2 linked regions of the Xenopus tropicalis genome follow. The main gene of each other region encodes a partner of the protein of the gene in region 2 in a complex. Links are inferred from orthologs where the notes say so. Each region holds a gene or a part of one and is shown on either strand. Other genes may lie near its edges. The genes, in order: amh and amhr2.

Region 1 (3,827 bases), on a different chromosome or scaffold from region 2:
CATTGGTTAAAGAAAGTCCTGGCCATATGAGAGAAAAAAATAAGGTATTTTGTTTATTTATGTAATTGTACTTCAATGAGCTGTATCGGGTACCACCATCTGAACATATACATATAAGTTTTTGTTTAAAATAAAAGGAGGCTATAAGTGTATAGACTGAAATATAACACACTGATTCATGCTGAATCAACTGCTTATCAATTTTATTTCCTCCTCCACCCCCAATAGTTTCTAGGAACATGTTACTGGCTAAGCTCGCTGCCAACTGAGCAACTGAATTGGAAAAACTTGCTATGTTGTTCCATTGCCTGTACTGAGATATTATTATTCTCTGGCATCATAGTTATTCCCCTATTGATAAAATAGCCCAGGATCTCCATATGTCCTTACCATTAGAAAGCCCTTTAATATGAACAGACAGATGGAGCATTAGGTCTCCAGAAGGATGGTTCTTCGCAGTTCCTCCTACTCTCATAACAAGATAGCGGGTGTTTAATGACACACAAGCCACCTGCATAAAGGAAACCTTATTGTATCAGAAGTACAGTTATTTCACATTTCTTTTATATGAGTTGTTGTTGGCCCTGGTACAAAATACAGTGTATATTTATTATCTATTAGCTGTTAAAATATAAGGTTATAGAAAGTAGCCTTGCGAGCTAACATTTCTAGTTGGCAAAAAAAAAAAAACTGTTCCTGCTATAAACATAGTTTTCTTTCATTCATTCTTTCATTATTCATTGAAATGAAGGACTCTTTTTCTATATACATATCCCATACCCTACATCAATGGTTTCCAAACTGAAAATATATATTAGCTAAATATATGTGAGTGTAATTATAAAACCCCTTGCTTGCCTGTTCTGGTTGGACTCCTTCTCCTGACACTAGAATTTTAGATCCATGGTGATCCATGTAGGACTTATGTGTGTCAAGATGAAAGACAAGCAACATTAAGTGAGGATGTTGCAGATGAGCAGTGACATGTCCCTTCACAGCCCCCTTGAAATGCAGGCTGGTTCCAACTTCCCAGTCAACTGATGGCAAGAAAAGCAAAACAAAGCATTTATTATTAGCCACTCTAAGATCCGAATGATGTTTAGAAAACATACAGCTTATCTCTGTGCAAAATATGCAGCCCATCCATGCTGGCTCACTGTACCAGTAAACACAGTTAGGCAGAATAAGGAGTTCATCTTAGCGTTATAGCACACAAAGTAATTAAGTGCACCTACTGAGCAATAAGATTGACATTTGTTTTCTAAAAATGCAACTTTAAGCCTGTTTTTGACAGGGAAAAAGGTAACCAATACAGAAATGCCCACATTTTTCCTGAACTATATGGTTACCATAGTGAGCAGTGTCAGATATCCTCACCAATCAATTCCATGGAAGAAATAAAGTCATATACCCCAAGGGGGTATACTGTCAGAAGAAAAATAAACAATCATAACCTAGAACAGCGGTGAGGGCTGGAACTGGGAAAAGACATAAGAGGCACAAGAGTAAATATCTAGGGTGCAAGGGTGTGTGGGGCTCAATTCACATGGAGCAACTATTAGAAAAGATAGTGGCAACAAGCAAGCATAGCTGGCAGTGGCAGGCTAACTAGTGGTGGTCAAAATGCCCTGCAGGTCTTGATTTATCTGATTTTAGCTTATGTTAAGAACATTTAAAGGGGAAGTATACCACCTTGTTCAACATGATTTCCATGAATATGGCTTTTGCTGAACATACTTTTTACCTTTTCTTTTGTTATTTCTTGAGCTAAGCAGGATGTACAGGGAAACTGAAGCTACTCTATGTTTGGTTCTTGCAAGGTCCTTGTTAAGTATGACTCCTAGCCATCTATTTAGTTTTAAAAAGGCGATATTTTCAGGGCCATTTTAATAAATAGGCAAAAGGGGCATTTGCTCAGGGCCCATTAGGATAGGCAGGCCCTGGATTTGTGGCAAGGCCACAAAGGCTTGGGCCTAGGGCACAAATTTAGGGGTGACATGCTGCCATCCAGCCACACTTCACAGAAAACTTCAGCACATCCTGTCCCCAGTGCTCCGTATGTGAAATAAATAGATGGGCATGTGCATGATCCTAAATGAGGGAAGGGAGCAGGGGATGGGGGTGACCTCTGGGTACCTTAATTAGAAATCCGGCAGAAGCATTCAGCAGAGATAGCATAACAATTCTGTCATTTAACAACTCTCAGGGCTGTTGGTCCAGGGCAGCACACTAGGGCATCATGTCTACTAGGTACGCGCAGACCATTTCTTCATTGCCAGCTTTACTATATTGAACTTGAGGCTTTTATTGGGGTTGGGCAGCTGTAGTTAGTACTCAAACTGTGTTTTTTTTTTTACCAAAAAATATCAAATTCTTGGGCAAAGTTTAAGTATTTCACATCAACATCTTTTCCATGATCTATTTAGTACTTGCCTTTTCTTGTTCGATTGTGCATTTCTCCACTATAGCAAGTCAACAATTTCCAGTCAGTCTTATCTATATTTTAATTCCTTTTTTTTTTTTTTCAGAAAATAATACTTCGCCTTCCTGTCTATTCCCTTTATGTCTCTGTTTATAACACTTGGCATCACTGACATTAAATAAAATTTTTGGTTCACCTTTGACTTTTAGTATGATGAAGACAGTGACATTTTTTCCTGTTTGGAATTTTAGCAGCTATATGATTTCTATGGTCCAAATTACCTTAGCAACCAGGCAGTGATTTGAATTAGATATAAATAGGTTTTACTTATATTTATAAGTAGGATTTGTCCTAACAATAATTATATATTATTTTACAGAAGTATACAGGAGTCTTTAATTAAATGCAGGAAAGAAAAGCAATAAATACCATGGCATCCTTCCAAAGTGCAGGACTTGATGGGGGGGGGGGGCAGAGGGCGAGTTAATATACAGGCATGGGATCTCTTATCCGGAAACCCATTATCCAGAAAGTTCCGAATTACGGAAAGCCTGTCTCCCATAGACTCCATTATAAGCAAACAACTCTAATTTTTAAAAATTATTTCCTTTTTCTCTGTAATTATAAAACAGTACCTTGTACTTGATCCCAATTAAGATATAATTAATCCTTATTGGAGGCAAAACAAACCTACTGGGTTTATTCAATATTTAAATGATTTTTAGCAGACAAGTTATGGAGATCCAAATTACGGAAAGATCCCTTATCTGGAAAACCCCAGGTCCCAAGCATTCTGGATAACAGGTCCCATACCTGTACTACATTGTATTCATTTTAAAAAATCTTTTCTTACAGGTGGTTGGTTTTATGGGACTGACTCCATGAAAGTAGGTTACCTACAAGTGTTATGTTCATGCCAATTTGCTACCCATAGTACTCTTTGATTGTGCATGCATGTTAGCTCAATCATAATAATTGCATGTAGAAGTGTCTATTAACAATATGACTTAATAATAGCAGTCATACTAGCTTGTTGCATAATGTAGGGTGAGAACCTTGTCTCTGTTTGCCACCCGACCAGTAAAAATTATGCTTGATATCAATGTTATTAATAAGGAAGAAACATGTGTGGTAGGTTATCAGGGGCAGCAAAAAAGGCACTTTTGGGTTTTACACCGAAAAACACATAAATGATCAGGCACTCAATAATCCCAATGTTGACAGGTTAAATAAAAGTAATACAACAATATTAATAGATTAAGAAAGAGAGTTTATAAGCTATATCCCACTGATAGGTCCTGAATATATAGATAATCACCAATTCAGTGAAATAAACAACAATTTATTGGCTCAAAATTTAACTAAACAATTCAAATAAAGCAAACATACTATACCAAACGACAAA
Region 2 (4,111 bases):
AAAACTTGGTTGCGGCAACGAATTGCGGTAATTTACCTGCCATAGATTAATCTACAAGATGCCGCATCAAATAGCGCACCGTTTGCAGCGTGTCGATTAGTGACCATGACTTTTTTAAGTCACCCCCTTAGGGCTCTGGCACACAGGGAGATCAGTCACGTGCAACAAATCTCCCTGTTCGCGGGCGACTAATCTCCCCGAAATGCCATCCCACCGGTGAAAATGTAAATCGCCGGTGGGATGGCATACACGGCGCTGCAATTTCCCTGAAATTGCGGAAGTTGCCTTGAGAGGAAATTTCCCTGAAATTGCGGCGCTGTGTATACCATCCCACATCAGGGAGTTTAGTCGCCCGCAACAAGGGAGATTTGTCGCGGGCAACTAAACTCCCTCGTGTGCCAGAGCCCTTAGGGTGAAGACAAACAGAGCTACTAGTAGAAGCTACTTGTCACAGCTATTAAATAAACAATGCTGATCATTTACTGATAATTGTCTCAGTAGAAATGTGTGTTTTAGCAAAAGCAATTCTCAGTATTGTCTTTGGCAGGGTATTTTCTTTGATATGATATTTACACATAACATTAACACTTTAATGAACTTTAATGAATGTATATTGGAAATTGCATAGGATTATATATATTATACAAAATCACCTTTGATGTAGCTGAAAAACTAAAAAGAAGAGTTTACCATACTGTTCACCGGTACCATTTTGTTATTAAAATCGATAGATCTCTGCTACTGTGGGCAACAAACTGCTCAGAAATGCCTTTCCACTAACAGCAATAGTAGTCGCCTTTGGAAAGGCCTACACATCACTCTGGCTTTCCAAAGCTGGATGAAGTTGGCTTGCATAGAAAGATGAGTAATAACAAGTAATAAATAGGTTGCAATAACAATAAAATCACACCAACTAATCGCCTGCCGCAAAAGTTGCGCCAACTTGTCACGCACAGTACATTTCGAATGCGGCATCTTGTATACATGTGCACGGAGATTAGTCACCGCGAGTCGAATCAACTGGGTTTTTAAAATCACAGCGACTAATCTCTCCTTCTGTCTTTGACCTAAAAGTGTACCACCCCTTAAACTGATCAAAACAAACATCTACTATTTTTTACCAAGCTGCTTGTGTAATGAGTCGGAAACACATCAGTCTTCCGTGATCAAGAAAGCTGTTTTCTTTTGTTTACCATGGGCACTATCTGGCTATTTACAGGACAGGTTTGCTGTATGACAGCATTTATTTTTTATCCCTGATAAACATTAAGGGATTGCATCATTATTTACTCTTTATAAGCTGTGCTGTGCTTTCCACCAGCAACAATAGGAGTTGTGGGGGGAAAGGCTATTGCATTGCTTCGTTATTCCTGAAGTCGCGCAAAGACGCCTGCCTGCAGGAGGAAACCACACTACTTCGGATAAACGAAGCAATGCGATGGCCTTTGGGTATTGCAGTTGCTATTCTGTAAATAATAAGTAAATACACTGTATCTGATGCTAAGGCTTATGCCACATGGGGCAATTCACCGGTGTTTGTCAGCACATTACAAATGTACTGTAATGCTCCTATATTGTGCAAAATTATTGTTTGAAAGTGCAACCTGTACCCACCAGCTAGAACATCCACAAGCCAAAAGTTAAGAGTTAACTGCCAACTGCAACAAAAACTATAAAAAAAAAAATATATTTGTCAAAAGTTCTTGTATTAATTGTGTTTTAAGGTAAATATTGACAATTAATATATCCATAATGTCTTATCAGTAATGACATATACAACATTGCCTCACTACAGCTGCACATTTAAAGCCACCCAGTATGAGTTGCTGGGCCTCAGCACTGTGGGTTACAGAGGTTGCTCAGTCTCTCTTCTGCACACTGCGCTGTTAGACGGGCCTCGGAATCAGGATCCCAGCAATCTTCCAGAGTCTCCCAGAGGGCTCCAACAAGCTGGAATATGGGGTATAGGGGGATATGTTATATAGAAACCTGTTATCTAGAAACACAGCACTGTCAACACTGTCAAGAAATATGATATTGGTTAATTGGAAATCTAAATAATATATTGGAATACAAGACTGGCATAAGGCTGTGAAAGAAGACTAATAAAAAAAAATAATTGCAATAAAAAGAGGGAAAATAAATATTCATGGACAAAAATGGAATCCTTGGATAAAATATATACAGATATAGGCTCGATTTTTCAGAGACAATGATAAAATTGTTTCAAGATATCGTATGGAATTATGAAAATGTAAAACGACACTTTGGAGAATATTTGGGTTATGTATTGGAAATACGTCTGAATGAATTATTTGTGCAGAGCAGGCCTTGGGCCAATTGGAATAGGGCGCTGCACCAATGGGAGCCCGCATCAACAGGAATAAGCACATAAAGCAAACATATATAATACAAATGTAATATATATTGTGAAGATGGTACAGCAGTTAAAAAGTTACCTTGATATTATTGCCCCAGGATTTGGGAAGCTGTGGCCGTCTTTTATTTTCAACTATCAATGACTGCAGCTCATGAAGAGTAGGATTTGGACCCAGTTCTTCAAGGAACACCACTTGGAACTCAGGTGCACATTGATCTAAGAGTTACAAGGCTTCATCTTAGTCTCATCTGCATAAGTATTAAGATATCTACAATACTACAGTATACACTACAGACATACAATATACAGTTATTTTTCACCAACAACCTGCTTGGCTTTTACTATAATTGTTTTCATGTAGTGATTAAGTCCAGCCTAAAGAATAATTCACTGCTAGGTCTCTGTTGGGTGCTGGCTTGAGCACCTTTGAAGCATGTATGTGACTGTCAGTTTTTGAGAGGGCCCAAGGCAAGGCAGGCCAGTCTGACCACAACACTTCTCCAGAGTAGCCTACTGTTTCCCAATTATAATGTCTAAAATTAAATGCTTAAATTAAATTTTCTTTTATGAACCTCAGTGTTAAAGTGTACTGCTGATGTGATTACATGCTCTACAACATCTCATGTTGTCAAAGTAATTGTATCAACTCATCTTGGGAGTTTTGAAGTACTATAAGATGTATGGTTTTTTTTCATATATATGTAGGGGGTGGTTGATGCCACCCTCATCCCCTAGTGTGTAGTACAATGCTGGAGATATCTGGTTGCTAGGGAACCAGCCAGGATCTATTGATGTGAGGCAGATAGCTTATTGGCATGGTTGGAGACCACAGAAGGAGATTTGCAATGTACAGTAGCACCTAACTGAAGTGGCCCAGGATCAATGTATTGCTCCTAAATTCTGGATAGAGAACTCAGCCTGAATCAGCTTTTATTAGTAAAAGCAAGCGGTGAAAGCTACTCCTGATCATTAGAGGGCCCTGACTGCCTGAAACAGTGGAAAGCCTTAACAAAAAACTAGTGAACCCAAGCACAATTATACAACTTAGGAAGTCACTTCTCACCTGCATATAAGTCATAACATCGACTGAATATTTCCCATAGTAATAGTCCAAGTGAATAGACATCAGCCTGAGTCAGAGCCAGCTCCCATAACACAAGATTCAAGGATCCATCCAACATCTCTGGGGACATATATCTCAGCGTACCTGTCTGTAGGAAACAAGTGATAATCAACTTGCTTGCAAAGTAACACAGTACATGGGCGTAACTATAAATTGAACAAAACTTGTGACTGTTGGGGAACCAGAAGGTTATGGGGGCCCAGAGGGACACCAACTATTAAGAAGTTTCCGTATATGTTTATGAAAAATATCCAAAGTTTCCCCAAAGGGGGCCACAAAAACATCTGTAAGGATTAGTAGCTTCTGACACATTCTGGCCTATTTATTATATTCTTACCATACTTATAGCTGGGTCCTCAGTGTTTCTTTTCATTATCTTTTGTCCCTCCAATACAACCGAAAGACCAAAGTCTGAGATTACACACAAGGAATCAGCAGTTACCAGGATGTTTTCACTGCTGAGATCTCGATGGGCAATTGGTGGTTTGTACACATCTGTATAAGTGAAATTTTAGAAACTAGATTTCATGCTCAAACAATTTAATTGATATAGTTGTTATTAGTGATGAGTAAATCTGTCCAGTTTCATTTCACTGGAAAATTTGTGG

The links.
Region 1: the proteins of amhr2 (region 2) and amh are in contact, whole or in part, in a crystal structure (PDB 7L0J), measured with the Homo sapiens proteins. The link is inferred for Xenopus tropicalis from reciprocal best matches to the Homo sapiens genes AMHR2 and AMH. Residues at the interface, in NP_065434.1 of Homo sapiens: Gly31, Val32, Arg33, Gly34, Ser35, Thr36, Thr38, Leu39, Phe62, Ile64, Glu75, Met76, Arg80, Asp81, Ser82, Glu84, Pro85, Ser95, Arg97, Ala98, Pro100, Ser101, Leu106, Thr108; in NP_000470.3 of Homo sapiens: Leu471, Arg472, Glu474, Val477, Leu478, Ile479, Pro480, Glu481, Thr482, Tyr483, Gln484, Lys534, Leu535, Ile537, Leu539, Glu542, Arg543, Ile544, Ser545, Ala546.

What each region holds. Positions count from the first base shown.
Region 1 is NC_030677.2:102,616,822-102,620,648, forward strand, and holds part of amh (muellerian-inhibiting factor), read right to left. Parts: intron 1,038-3,827; coding exon 859-1,037; intron 512-858; coding exon 391-511; intron 19-390; coding exon 1-18. UniProt on the Homo sapiens protein: Plays an important role in several reproductive functions. Induces Muellerian duct regression during male fetal sexual differentiation. Also plays a role in Leydig cell differentiation and function.
Region 2 is NC_030678.2:146,934,734-146,938,844, forward strand, and holds the end of amhr2 (anti-Muellerian hormone type-2 receptor), read right to left. Parts: intron 3,999-4,111; coding exon 3,841-3,998; intron 3,592-3,840; coding exon 3,444-3,591; intron 2,597-3,443; coding exon 2,460-2,596; intron 1,951-2,459; coding exon 1,834-1,950; 3' UTR 582-1,833; downstream 1-581. UniProt on the Homo sapiens protein: On ligand binding, forms a receptor complex consisting of two type II and two type I transmembrane serine/threonine kinases.